Linked DNA regions of Oryctolagus cuniculus. The protein of the gene in region 1 interacts with the protein of each later gene in a biochemical or structural test. Links are inferred from orthologs where the notes say so. Each region holds a gene or a part of one and is shown on either strand. Other genes may lie near its edges.

Region 1 (6,795 bases):
AATCTAATGACAAGCCTTTTAGATTTTTTTCTTTTTAATCCACAAAAGAACTTTATTCTTTATATCTTAAAACAATGAACATTAATCTGAATTAAAAACTGCACCATTCTCCACAATTTTAAATGTGCTAGGCTTGCTATGCCAAAGTGAAAAGTTTATAAAATAATGAAGTATTACCTGTATCGTGGATCATTAATGATCATTTTCATAGCTTGTTCCCATGAAGCATTGGATGGTACCCGCTGAAAACCATTTAAATGAAGAATTAAAATTTCACACTAGCACAGTAAGTCATGTAACAGGGAACCAACTACAATACTCACTGTAAACCTCAAGAATTTTCCTTTGTAGGATTTTGAAAAGTTCTAAATAATGTTTTATTGATGGGAAACCTCTGAAATCTACCTATCAACTGAAAAGAACTTGAACTCAAATTTAAACAGGGAATGAGTATTTTTTCTTTACAATTTTGATTAAAAGGTAAACAATTATAACTATAAATAAAAAACCTTGTATTAAATATTGAAGAAGAAATGTCCTGGTGTAGTTTTGTTCAAGTTTTTTTGTTCAAAGTTTCAAAATAGTGATCTTCAAAAAAATAAGACAATTTTAGTTGATTTTCAGTAAAAACAGTACATGAAATCAGTATTTTAAATAAAGGTATCAAGGTTTGCATTAAAAATAACTCATTTTATTAGGTAATTTATACACAGCATATAAAAATCTGTAACACAAATACCTTTTCCTTCAATAATTCTTTAAATGCTTGCTTTGCCTCCTCCTTTGTATTCCAAGTATATGTTTTTTTTGCTGGCTGGCTTTCCTCCTCTTCTTTTTTGGGAGTAAAACTAGAGAAATGTAAACATGTCATTGATAATTTAAACAAATACTTGCTTCAGTCAGAAATATAAATGCCTTTAGTTGTTATTTAAATAATATTTGATGTTAAATTTTGACAATTTGGGAATTAAGCCTCATATACAGATGCTAAAAACACAGGAATAAAGGCAATACAGAGTTTTCCTGAAAGTATAGTTATTAAAACCTTGTAGAAATGCCAAAATATAACATTAACTGCATTAAACACCAGCTCCACTAGTCTACAACCTAACCATTTTAAATGGTTAATTCAATGGTTTCATATTAGTGTGTTAATGACTGAGTATTTCGCATAACTGCAAAAATATAAAAAAGATATAGAGGTTAATCTAAACCAAGGTCAGCATATGCAGCATACTACACTAGCCAAAACTAGCCCACTCTGACTAGAAATATACACAGCCTTGCTCATTTGTTTATATACTGATTATGGCCAATCTGTGGGACCACAGCAGAGTTGGCATTGTTAACAAACACAAAACCCCAAATACTTACATTTGGTATTTTATCAAAAAGTTTGCCAAACACAAATCCAAAATAAAAATAATACAATCAAGAATTTTTAACTGGTTTTGGTTGGGGGTCATTCAAAGAATACATTTACCCTGATATAAACACAGAGGAATGCAGGAAAAAGAAAAAAATCATGAAATACTTCAAGTAAAATATTTAAGGGAGGAGACAATTAAGTAGATTCTGACAAAAATGTAAATATATTCACTTTACATCAGGTAAGCTTACTTAGGGAAATCTATTTAGAACTGTCAAAAAGTACTATAAAGAGATCAGCAAAAAACTAACAGCTACAAATGGTCTAAATAAACATAATTAAAATCAAAATCTCACAGACAGGCACTATAATCAGGAAATGCAGTAAAGAAAAAAACAGCAGGAAACAAGTATTAATTCTTAAAATTATGAAGAACATATTATGGTTGGCCCTCTGCTTCTGTGGTTTCAACCAACTATGGATCAAAAAATATTTGAAAGAAAAAGGAAATTGCATCAGCACTAAACAACACATTTTTCTCATTATTCCCTAAAAAGTACAATACAACAACTATTTACATGGCATTTACACTCTGTTGGGTATAATAAGTAATCTAGAAATGATTCCAAGTATATGGAAGGATGTGCACAGACTATATGCAACTACTACACTGATTTATACAAGGGATTTAATGCAAAAGATTATTACAAAACATTCTATCAATAGTGGAAATGTCAATCAGTAAGGGGACACTTAAATTTATGCATAGTACATAATACATGATGGAGTGTATGGAGATTATGTTAATTTTACCTTGATGTCTTCAAATATACCATATGGATCTCTTCATAGAACAAATTATAAAGCTATTTTCACTTTGGAAAATATAACATAGGAGAACACAAAAAGAAGACTTACAATAAGAACTGGAGGGTAAAGGCAGTATCTTAAGATGGATGACTATGTTAGGACCATGAAGATTAAGGCTGTTTTTTATACCTGTGGACATCCTTAAGTCAAGGGCAGCTTGAGTTCACTTTTCATAGCTAGCCATGTGAAATATTACTATAGCGTATGCAGGTACAAGCAAACTGTAGACTTTGACAGATGGAGCTGTGCTTTATTAAAAAGCCATCCCAATTCACTCCAAAAGCAGTATGAAAATACTCTCATACTCTGCTAAATCTATCTTTTGTGCTTGGTTTTTACTAATATGGTACAAAAATAGTAGTATTATTTTGTGTTTCATTATAACGGCTGAGTGTCTTATAAACTTCTTGGAGAACTGATTTCCTTTCTCTGTAAAACACCTTCTATTACCTTTTCCAAAATATGCTTTTAAAAAAGCAGTTTTATTTCATTTGTAGAAAACTGAAAACCAAACACTACAAATAAGCAAAGAAAAAATGAAACAAAACCATTTTAGTACTCTAGCTTGCAGAGCTCCTTCAACTTTCCTAAGAAATCTTTTTAATAACAAACTATGGCATTTGTAGTGCTATGCTGAACCACACAGGAGAAAAAAAAATCAGTAACACTGATCCTTTTTCAAAACTGACATTTTGTTAATCATGGATATTTTGCTTTCAAATAGGATATATCTTCTTTAGTATGGTTTTTGGCACTCCTTTACATCTGTGCCTCACCCGATCCTTTGCTCTACTTCTTAAAACTTCAGTGCACAAGTTTTCCAACAGTTTGGTGTCTAATCTACCTCCAAAAAACCAAAACAGAGCAAGAAGAATAACTTAGCCTCAAAATTTATCCAGTGTCTAAAGTCTTAAAATTTTTATTTTCAAAAATATTTAGACTCAATGGTCACTGATTAAGCAGCAATTTCTTGAATTACGTCTACACTGATTTTCAGAAGACAAGTTACTAAACTTACTCAGCTACAGTTTCCTGTTTAGATGTTTCTTCTCCAGTATTACTGGATACTTCAACACTCTGATCCTGAATAGCAGAGGTACTAGTAAGTTGTGCTTGTTCCTCAGTTGAAATAGTTACAGTATTTTCATTATCTACAACAGTAGCAACAATGGAAGTAACTTCAGGCTCAGGAACAACTGGAACAGTTCCACCCACAGTATTAGAAGTAGAAGTGGAAGCACTGGCATTGGCTGCAGCAGCAGCTGCTGCTGCTGCGGCTGCTGCTGCAACAACAGCAGCTGCTGCTTCTGCAGCAGCCATGGTGCTCATTGTAGTCGGAATTTCTGTTGTAGGAACCGGGGCTGCTGATGTTGTGGTGCACTCTTCTTGCTTACTATACATTAAAAAAAGAGAGAAAACTAGTTATTTCATCACTGTAATCATAAATCTAAATCTAGGTTTTAAATTATAATAACAAATGAAAAGGGACCAACATTCAGTGATTCCAAACTAGAAAGTCCAATAATTATTCTCATTTACAAAATGCTCAATTAGATTGTTATCATTAAATTTGACATATATTATGTCTGTAAGAAGTTCTAAAATTTCTGTTTCATGAATTAAAAGGAAACCATATATAATCAAAGAAATATATCGATATAATATTTCATCCATTCCCAAATGAACTGAAAGAAAATTTTGGACTTCATTTTAACAGTCTTCTTAATTCATATCAGTATCAACCTGAGCAAATATTATTCTCCCTGCTTCTCCCCCATAAAATCCTCTAAAGACATCAAATCATCAGATCTAACAAGAAAACAAGATCTAAAAGAAAACTGACAGCTAAAACAAGATGTTACAGGAGACCAAATTTATAAATAAATGTTGATATTCAAAATAGCTTACCTGCTCTCTTCAGCTTTGATCATTGCTATCAAAGAGAAAAATGAAAAGTCATCTACTAGGTTTTAAATATTGTAACTGAAAACAAACTTTGAAAAAAATAAAGAAAACTATCTTACAATAGGATTTAACATCCAAAAAAAATTCTTAAATAAATTTTACAAACACTTGCTCCATAGTTGTAGAGCAGCAATTAAAGAATAAAACCAATTTTAAATAAGAACAGTTATCAGAAAAAGTTATCTCATGCTGTTATTTTCCCAATGGCTGTTGGCTACTGCAAAATCTCCCTGAAAAATCTAAATTCTGGAATAATATTTTTCCCACTGATGAGACTACTTCGAATTTTCTTATGATACTAAATTTAATATGGGACAAACTGCAATTATAAAATTCCAGTACATACATATTCTAGCATTAACAAGTACATTAATAGGTATGCATACTATTTTTATTAGGGTTATATCAGAAATGAGCTTGATATTCTGTAAATGAATAAACTAGGATGCAGGTTACCTATCTTTATTCTTATTAGCCAATGCTAGTAACTTTAGTTATAAAATGAAATATAAATGAAAATTTCAGTTTCATTTTCAATTATGTAACTTTTCCTTTGGGGATAAAAAGTAGCTTTTATTTAGCATCCTAGGGATGAGGTACCATTTAAGTAATAATATAAGCCTGCTTGTATGAAAATATTTTAACAAGGAAATCTGAAAATCTGTTAACAATGGTTGAGAAAACATATTCAAGAGTTATTACAAATATAAAATATACAAATATAAATTTACATTTTCCTGATACAATGTGCACAGAGAAAAGGTAAATGACTTAAAGTCGACAATGCCTTTTATGAAATTTTATCCTTTCGTGGCAGATACTATTCTATATCGATGCCTACTTTATTAGTCCTGTTTTCCTATAAGCTGTTGTTTCTAATTTGGTATATTTTTTGACACTATATTCAGTTAAAAAGAGACCAAAAAATTTCAATTCTTAATTCTTATTCAGAATCACTGCTATTTTAAATCTTGGGTTCTATAATATTTTGAGTAGTTCAGAGTGTAAAACAATTCTTACAACTGCAGCATGTTACTTTGTTTACCTAATTTCACTCAATCATAATGTATCAAAGCTATCATAAAAAATGTTATGCTAAAGCAAAAATCAATATTAGGGGGGTGGGCGCTGTGGCTCACTTTCTAATCCTCATCTGCGGCGCCAGCATCCCATATGGGCACTAGGTTCTAGTCCTGGTTGCTCCTCTTCCAAGTCCAGCTCTCTGCTGTGGCCCGGGAGGGCAGTGGAGGATGGCCCAAGTGCTTGGGTCCCTGCATCTGCATGGGAGACCAGGAAGAAGCACCTGGCTCCTGGCTTCGGACTGGTACAGCGCCAACCGTGGTGGCAATTTGGAGGGTAAACCAACGGAAGGAAGACTTCTCTCTGTCTCTCTCTCACTGTCTATAACTCTACCTGTCAAATAAAAAAAATTTTTTTAAAAATCAATATTAAATGTCTGACTACATGCTAACGACTAAAGAGATAGATTCAAGGTTCTCTAATTACTACCATTAAATGGGTTAAATCATATGTTCCAAGTATCTACCAACACTCAAGTAGAATTTAGAAATTTTCTAAGTTTTTGTTTAATTTTTTAATGACAAATAAATTTTAAAGAAAATCAAAGTATACTTTTAAAAGTTACAAGCTCATTTATAATATAATCCTTAAGTGAAAGGAATTCTTGTATTAGAGATTTTTCACTGCAGATTTATCAATTCAGTTAGTGAATATTAGTGACATACTCTAAAAATGTTAAATATGACAGAAAATAATTATCAAAGCGGCTCACCATGCAGGTTTGATTTTGTAATAAGACCTCCAGCAACAATGGTATTCTGGTATCCTAGTTTCAGTGGAATCAAATCAAATAAAAATCTATTTAAAATCTATAGAACTGAGATCTAGAGCAACAAGAAAATAAGAGCCCATAAAACTATTACACCATTTTAAATGTTCTAATCAGTTAATTTAAAAAAAAAAAAAGGCCTTTGAACAATCCTATTCAGGAAGGATTATTTCAAAGTGATTGATATATCAAAGTAAAAAAATTATACTACACATTATTTTCTCCTATTTTTACCTTCAAGATCCTCAAGCTCTTTAGGCTTGGCCCAGCGGGATTCTTTTGTTTGAGAATTGTAATAATAAGGCTTTCCAGAATCAGATTTGTACTCCTTCCAAGGGCATTTAGATAACAGTTGCTATAGAAGAACAAACTTCGAGTTAACTAATATATTTAGCATCACTAAATTTCACAAACTGTTTTCACTACATATTCTCACCCTTTATTATTTCTACAACTTGGGGAGATGCTACGTAAAAAGGTAATTTGTTTAAGGCAGCAACCCTATTATCTCAAATCCATATGATCTTGTCACCATCCAGGTAAAAATTTCCATTACACATTTCAAGTAGTAATACAAGTATGAAAAACAAAATTTAAGGAAAATAAAAATCTGATTAGGTATCAGCTTCATGATATGATACTGTTAAAACTGTATTTAAACTAACATATTAAAGCATAATATAGGTATAATATATGTAATACAAGTTTTCTTCAAAATGTTCATGAAAAATGGAAGCTTATT
Region 2 (7,234 bases), on another chromosome or scaffold:
GCTCCCAACCACGGGCACCGGCGTCGGAGTCACGGCCAGACCATCCGGGGTCATGGTGGGGAGGAGGGCAGTGGCTGGAATCTGACCCGCAGCTTGGAGGAGACGGCACAAGACGAGGCGTCAGGAAAGCCTGGCGCGGAGCTCGGGCACCACCCACCACACACTCAGCTGGAGACCCCCACCCCCACGGGCACTTCGGGTGCCCTCCTGCAGCCCCCCAGGCGCGGCCAGCGGGCCTACCTTGCATGGCCTTGTACTGCATTGGGGTGATGTGCTCGAAGCCAGGGGGAGGCACGTCCCAGTATTTACGCACCTTCTTCTTCTTCTCATGGCGGGGGGAGCGACTGGGGGCGGGGAGAGCGGGCGGCCAACCTCAGTCTGACCCACAGCCGCAGGGCCCCTCCCAGGCTCCGCAGAGGCCACCCCCCACGAACTCCACTCTCCCCAGGAGAGGGGATCTGGACCCAGGCCTAGGGAGGGGTGCTGGTTTGAAGGCAGAGCGGGGGCCAGGGCTGGACACGGGCACGGAGGAGGGGGGAGGTGTGGACACGGGTGGGAGGAGGGAAGGTGTGGACGTGGGTGGGAGGAGGGGAAGGTGTGGACATGGGTGGGGAGAGGCACACAGCAGTGAGGGAGGGGAAGGTGTGGACACAGGCAAGAGAAGAAGATGTGGACACGGGCAGGGAGGAGGGAAGGTGTGGACATGGGAGGGGGGAGGGGAAGGTGTAGACGTGGCACAGAGAGGCACACAGCAGTGAGGGAGGGGAAGGTGTGGACGTGGGCAGGGGGAGAGGAAGGTGTAGACACAGCAGGGAGAGCCACACAGCAGTGAGGGAAGGGAAGGTGTGGACGTGGGCAGCGAGAGGGGAAGGTGTGGACACGGGCAGGGAGAGGCACAGAGCAGTGAGGGAGAGGAAGGTGTGGACACGGCAGGGGAGAGCCACACAGCAGTGAGGAGGAAGGTGTAGACGCGGGCAGGAGGAGGGGAAGGTGTGGACGTGGGCAGGGGGAAGGGAAGGTGTACACGAGGGCAGTGGAGAGGCACACAGCAGTGAGCGAGGGGAAGGTGTGGATGCGGGCAGGGGGAGGGCAAGGTGTGGACAGCAGTGAGGGAGGGGAAGGTGTGGATGCGGGCAGGGGGAGGGCAAGGTGTGGACAGCAGTGAGGGAGGGGAAGGTGTGGACACGGCAGGGAGAGGCACACAGCAGTGAGGGAGGGAAAGGTGTAGACGCGGGGGCACAGGGGCAGGAGAGACGCTCACATCAATCCACCGTGGTCCTCTTTAGCGCCTCTGGTCAAAGGTTTGCTGGGGGGTGGGAGGGAAAGGTAGGGGAGGGGTGACTGGGGACCCTCGACTGCCCCACAGGCCACTCCCCCCCAGCTCACTGAGTCCCAAGGCTGGGGCAGGGCCGAGGAGAACAAGCGGCAAGCAGCCCCCTCGGCCCTGCCATCTCCCCCCGCCAACTCCCAGACCAGGATTAGGAGAGGAGGAGGCGGGCCAGGGCAGACCAGTGTCCCTGCAGGCACTGGGCGGGGGGGGGGGGGGGGGGGCGCGGGAAAGCAGAATCCCTGGAGGGAGCCCGGGAGCCGAGGCTGCAGACAGTGCCCCACTGCGAGGAGGGGAGAGAGACTGGAGCCAGAGCAGCCCCGGAAGACAGCCTCCCAGAGCAGCACAGAACAGCTCAAGGCAACCAGCCCGCGGCGGGAGCCAGCCCTGCGCCGGGCATCGGCCACGCCATCAGCCGTGCCACCTCCAAGCCCGCAACCCGCTAGCACGCCTGGGAAGGCCACGCGGGGGAGACGGCTCAAGTGCCTGGGCCCTGCCACCCACGGGGAGGCCAGGATGGAGTTTCGGGGTCCTAGCCTTGGCCTGGACCAGCCCCAAGCGTGGCAGCCAAGGACAAGAGCCCCCGGCCCGCCCTTCATCAAGTCGTCTCTGTAAGGAGAGCCCTCGGGGTCGGGGCAGACAGAACCCGCAGCCCCCAGCACCGCCAGCGGGGAAGTGAAAGAAACGCCAGACTCGGCGGAGAGCTGGTCCCCACCCGACAGACACGAGGCCACGCAGGCTGTGGGGCCACCCAGACGCCCCCCACACCCAGGCTGGCCCGGGCACCTTCGCCGCCGCCTGTCCCGCGAGGCGCTCCGCTGGTCTCGGTTGCGCCGGTCCCGGCTCCGGCTCCGGCGCTTGCGGTCCCGGCTTCGCGAGCGGCTATGACTGCGCTTCCGGTGCCGGTTCTCCTTGTCCCTCTCTGCGCAAGGCGAGAGGCAGGGGCTGGGCTGAGTGGAGGGAGGACGCGGGCCCAGCCCACCCTGCACGCTGGTGGCTACGCCCAAGACCCAGGGAGGCCACCCCCAAGGGCAGGGACTGCAGGAGGAAGGGAGAGAAGAGGCCTCCTGGGTCCACAGCAGAGGGGACCGCGGACAGGGCCTGCTAGTGCCCCGGGGGTGAAGATACCTGCGGATGCTCAAGGGCTGAGGAGCCAGAGAAGACAGAGGAGGCTGGCTCCTGGTCCCCCTCGAGGGCTGAGGGGCCTGACCCCAGGGTCGTCCCTGAGAGGGGCAGGGCTAGACGCTGGGGAATCAAGAGACCCAATGATGCTTTCCTGAAGGGACCCAGCGACCCCTCAGGAAAGACGCGGGCACCGGCTGGCACCCACAGCCCCCCACGTCCGGCCCAGGAGCACGGAGCCAGGCGTGATGTGATGTGCCCGGATGCAGGACGCTCGAGTCATCCCTCTCCTGCAGGCAGGCCACGCGGGACCAATATGCCTCCATCCCCTCGGGGCGAGGACCAGGGACTCCAGGTCCCGCCAGGACCTCCGCAGGACACCGCGCGCCCCGGCACGGGCCCGACCGGGCCACCACACGCAGCGCAGGACAGGTCCACGCCCCCGTGGCCTCCGTGTCACACACTGTCCAACGTGGCTGCGCGTGCTCTGCCCCCAACCACGCACGCTCAAGCACGCACAACCGGGAGCACCGCCTGCATCCCCAGCCAGAACCTGCACCCAGGCTCGGCCACAGGACGGGCGGCCGGGACGCGCGCCAGCAGCCTGCACCCGCCACTGCTGGACACGGGGCCGGCGGAGCAGACAGTCCGCCTCCAACCTGCACGACGACACTCCCTCCGCGGAAGGCAAAGACAGAGAAACCCCGCTGGGGTGCGGAAGACAGAGACGAGGGCGCCGGCCCGCAGCCAGCACGCGAGCACCGCGCGGGCGCCGGGCGCCGGCCCCAGCAGCTCTGCTGCCCACGGGGACCGGCCCAGGAGGCGTCCCGCCGCCGAGGCTCAGCAGCGCGCAGGAAAGGGACGCCCGCGGGGCGCCCGGACGCAAACAAGGAAATCCCCTAGGCACAGGTCGCCAAGAGACGCAGGGAGACTGGCGCGCTGGGACAAAGACCCACGCACGGCACGGGGCACACGTGGGCCCCGGAGGAGGCGCCGCACACCTGCCGGACTCCGCGCCAGCTCCTCCCCGCTGACCGCAGGACGCCACGCGAACGCGACCGGAACTTGGCTCGAGCAGGCGCCGTCCCGCCCCGCGCGCCAGGTGCGCCGAGGGCCTAGCCGACGGCGGGAGGGCAGCCGGCCCGGCTCGCCCGACTCCGTGTCCGCCCTCCGAGCCCCTCCCGCAGCGGGGGGACCCGGGCCGTGCTCGCGAGGAAACGCGGGCGGACCGAACAAAGCGCCGGCCCCCAGCGAGGGGCGCAGCTTCCCTGCAGCGGGGCTCGCTCGCCCCATGAGGAATCTCTACAGCCAGAAACATTAGCAAAGAACACCGCACCCTCGGTACTCAGGCGGCAGGCAGGCCGCGGGAGGGGCGGGCTCCGTCCACCCCCGCCCCAGCTCGGGCCTGGGCCCCTGGACCTCCGCTGCTCCCGGCGCCCTCACTCTCGCCGAACGCGAGAAGCGGGCACGCAGCCCCGGGCGGCGGGGCGCTGCCGGGCACTGCCTGCCTCGGCCCGCAGCCGCGCCGTCCCACCTCCGCGCGGACACGCAGGAGGCCCAGCTAGGGGCCCCGGTCCACGCGAGGGGGAGGGGGCCGTCCCCGAGACCGCCATTTTGAAACAAAGGGGGCGTGGAGACGCAGCCCCGGCACAACCGGAAGCGGAAGAGTTGCAGCAGCGGGCGAAAAAGAAGGGGATTACAGGATCTAACATACTAATCGTCTTTGCCAAGAAAGGGAGAGAGCGAGCAGAGCTAGGGTCGACGACTCCGGCGCCAGCGCGCCGCGTCCCCCTTCGCCACCTCCGCGGGGACCACGTGGGCGCGGGCGGGCGCCGTGCGCATGCGCCACGGGCCCGCGCCCGCCGCCCCTGCCCCTCGCCGCGCCGCGGGCGGTCACGTGAGCGAGGCGCGCCGCGGGAGGGGGGGTGGATCGCGCGGCGCCGAGGAATGGGAAACGAGGGGGAAAATGGCGGGGGCCGAGGAGCCAAGCGAGGAGCCACCCCTCCCGCGCCGCCCCGCCACCCCGGCGCCCTCACCTTGTTTATTCTCGTTGAGCTGCCGCTCGAACTCGTCGAAGTCCGACATGCTGAGGCGGCCGCGTCGGGCCCTGTGCAGCGCTCGCCTCGCCTCGCCGCCCGCCCGCTCCGGCCGCTTCGGCTACTTCCGCCGCTAGCTTCGGCTACTTCCGGCCGCCGCCGGCGCTGTACCGCCTCCTACCTAATCAAGCCCCGGCAGCCCGCCCCGCCCAGGCTCCGCCCCTCGCCCCGCCCGACCCCCGCGAGCCCCGCCCCCGAGCCTGGCTCCGAAGCGCGTCGGCTCTTTCCGGACGGTCGGCCTCGGCGGTTTCCGAAAACGCCCGAAGCGAGGACCTGGCCGGCGTCTCGGGTTTCCGTAACTTTCCGGAAGTCAGCGCCTCGCCGTCCGGCTGTGTTCGCGGGTCCTCGCGTCCCTCGGCGCAGAGCCCTCTCCGCGGGTTCGGCTCCTCCCGACAATTCCAACCGCCCCAGTCTCTCCCTCTGCAGATCCGCCGCGCTGCTCCGCCGGACCCGCCTAAGCAATCGGCCACTGCCGACGACCTTTCCGAGGGTTTCGGCGCTCGCCAGAGGCTTCGGCTCTTTCCGGAGAGTCCGCTCGCGCACTCCTCCCCTACCGGAGAGCTTCGGCTCCTTCCGCCGCGGCTTCGGGAAGCCCCTCCCTCACGGAAGCGGCTTCGGCTCTCTCCGGCGGCGCTTCGGCTCCTTCCGGCGGCGGGAACCGAAAAGGGAGGGAGGACGGAGGCGAGGTGGGTCCGGGGCCCGGGTCCAGAGAAGGGGGCGGGGTCCGGGCTCTCGGCACCTGGCTCTCCCGATGGGAGAGAGGAAGGAAGGAAGGGCCGACTCTCCGGAGCGCCTGAGGCGGCTGCGCGAGGCAGCAGCAGCCTTCGGGCTGGAGGGCGCGCGCGGCCGCTGCGGAGGTTGCCAGCGCGGCTCTGCGCGCCTGCGCAGGGGCTGAGGCGGGCTATTGCGGCTGCGCGGAGGTCGGTCTGAGGCGGGGTGGCGGTGTCGGGTTCCAGGGCCCCCACTGCGCGTGCGCGAGGCTTTCCCTGCCTAAAAGGAGTCCGAGTTCCCGACCGTTAAGCACGACCGCCCGCTCCCGGTTGTCTTGGCAACTGCGTCCGCGCTCTCGCACCCCTGCCGCCGCGCGCACGCGTGGAAGGCGGTGGAAGCACCACTTCCGGGACGCGGCCAACGTCGCGCTGCTGCCCCCTGGCGGCAGACGGCCGCCGTGCCACGCCGCGCCGCGCCCGGGGACCGCCCATGCCGGGGGTCGTCGGGCCCCGCGCCGCTAACGCACGGCGCCGCCCCCGGGGGGCTCGCCCCACCCTGTGCTCCCCAACCCCTCGCTTCCCCTCCGAGGAAAACGCTGGGGCCCAGTCTGTGCCAAAGCGTCACGTCTCTGTTTTATTTTTAATTTTTTAACTTAAATTCCGGGCGCCGTCTGCCCGAGCGTCACGTCTCTCGTCTTTCTTTATTGGATCTGAGCGAGCACGGGTCACCGCTTGAAGCGGTAGGTGATGGGCAGCAGCAGCTTGCTCTTCTTGAGCGCCTGCACCTTCTTGAGCGTCTCGTCGTCCAGGGCCAGGAAGCAGCGGCGCGAGTACTCGAGCAGGCGCTCCTTGGAGGGGTCGAACTCGCCCACCTCGGCCAGCTTCTCGGGGGCCACGATGAGCAGCTCGGCGATGGGCGTGGTCAGCGCCACGGTGTTGCGGTCCACGCGGTGGTGCTCGAAGGCCCGCGACATGCTCTTGAGCTTCTGGAAGGTGCCCAGGATCTTCTTGTAGCGGCACAGCACGCCGTCGGCGTCCTTCACTGCGGGGGGACAGCGGGCGGCGGTCAGGGCCGGGGCCGCGGCGCGCGGGGCCAGGGCGCGCGCCCCGGGGCCTCGGCCCCCGCTCACCCCGCTGCCGCTCCCGGGCCTTGGGCTTCCCGAAGCGCCTCCGGCCGGCGCCCGCCCGCGGCCTCTGCCTCTTCCTCTCGCCGGCGCTGCCTTCCTCGGACGCGGCGCTGAGCGACGAGGCGGCCGACTCCAGGTCCGAGGCCTCGCCCCCCGCGCCGCCGCGGCTGTCCCCCTCCGCCCGCCGGGGCCCCGGCTTGGCCCGGCAGTGGTCCTCTGGGGGTGGGATGGGGGGCGGGGGAGAGCAAAGCCCGCAGGTGAACGGCGGGCCCAGGCCGGACGCCTGGCGGCCGCGCTGACCCGCAGAGCCCCTGGAGGGCAGTGGGAGCCCGGGAGACAGGGGCTCTGGGCCTGGTAGGCCGGGGACAGCCAAGGCCTCCAGCTGCACCGGGGGCGCTCCCCGGGGACACGGGTGCTGGAAAGGCCCTGTACTGGGCTCCCCAGGGGCCCGACCGTCGCGGGAATCATCCGCGGGGGAGACAGCCAGATCCTGACAGCGTGGGCACGGGCACCACGGGCCCGTGCGTGGCGCCGGGTTTGGGGAGGAGGGGGCTCGCAGAGAGAGGGGCAGCAGGGGCCCCGCTGGGGCTGGGCGGCGGTCAGCACGCGTGGGTCCGCCAGTAAACCGGCCGGGCTGCTGCTGGTCCTGGACCAGCACGGGAGGGGGCAGGGGCACGGGGTCGCGGCCCGCGCGCCCACCTGCGTCCACGCGCGCGGAGGAGATGAACTTGTCCAGCTGGCAGCGCAGGAAGTCCCGCTCCTCCTCCAGGTCCTCGATGCGCTTCTGCAGCCACGAGTTCCTCTCCAGGGCCAGGTGCAGCTGCGCCTTGACGCTGTTCATCAGGGCCAGGG

The links.
Region 2: the proteins of PRPF40A (region 1) and U2AF2 form a complex in vitro, tested with the Homo sapiens proteins (2 studies listed by BioGRID). The link is inferred for Oryctolagus cuniculus from reciprocal best matches to the Homo sapiens genes PRPF40A and U2AF2.

Annotation. Positions count from the first base shown.
Region 1 is NC_091434.1:89,201,951-89,208,745, reverse strand, and holds part of PRPF40A (pre-mRNA-processing factor 40 homolog A), read right to left. Parts: intron 6,409-6,795; coding exon 6,288-6,408; intron 6,051-6,287; coding exon 5,997-6,050; intron 4,173-5,996; coding exon 4,148-4,172; intron 3,633-4,147; coding exon 3,258-3,632; intron 849-3,257; coding exon 740-848; intron 243-739; coding exon 178-242; intron 1-177.
Region 2 is NC_091449.1:3,335,237-3,342,470, forward strand, and holds the start of U2AF2 (splicing factor U2AF 65 kDa subunit), read right to left. Parts: upstream 4,626-7,234; 5' UTR 4,535-4,625; coding exon 4,486-4,534; intron 2,250-4,485; coding exon 2,114-2,249; intron 1,307-2,113; coding exon 1,262-1,306; intron 345-1,261; coding exon 241-344; intron 93-240; coding exon 1-92. Other genes in the region: CCDC106 (coiled-coil domain-containing protein 106), read right to left, coding at 5,981-6,297, 6,386-6,598, 7,082-7,234. UniProt on the Homo sapiens protein: Plays a role in pre-mRNA splicing and 3'-end processing. By recruiting PRPF19 and the PRP19C/Prp19 complex/NTC/Nineteen complex to the RNA polymerase II C-terminal domain (CTD), and thereby pre-mRNA, may couple transcription to splicing.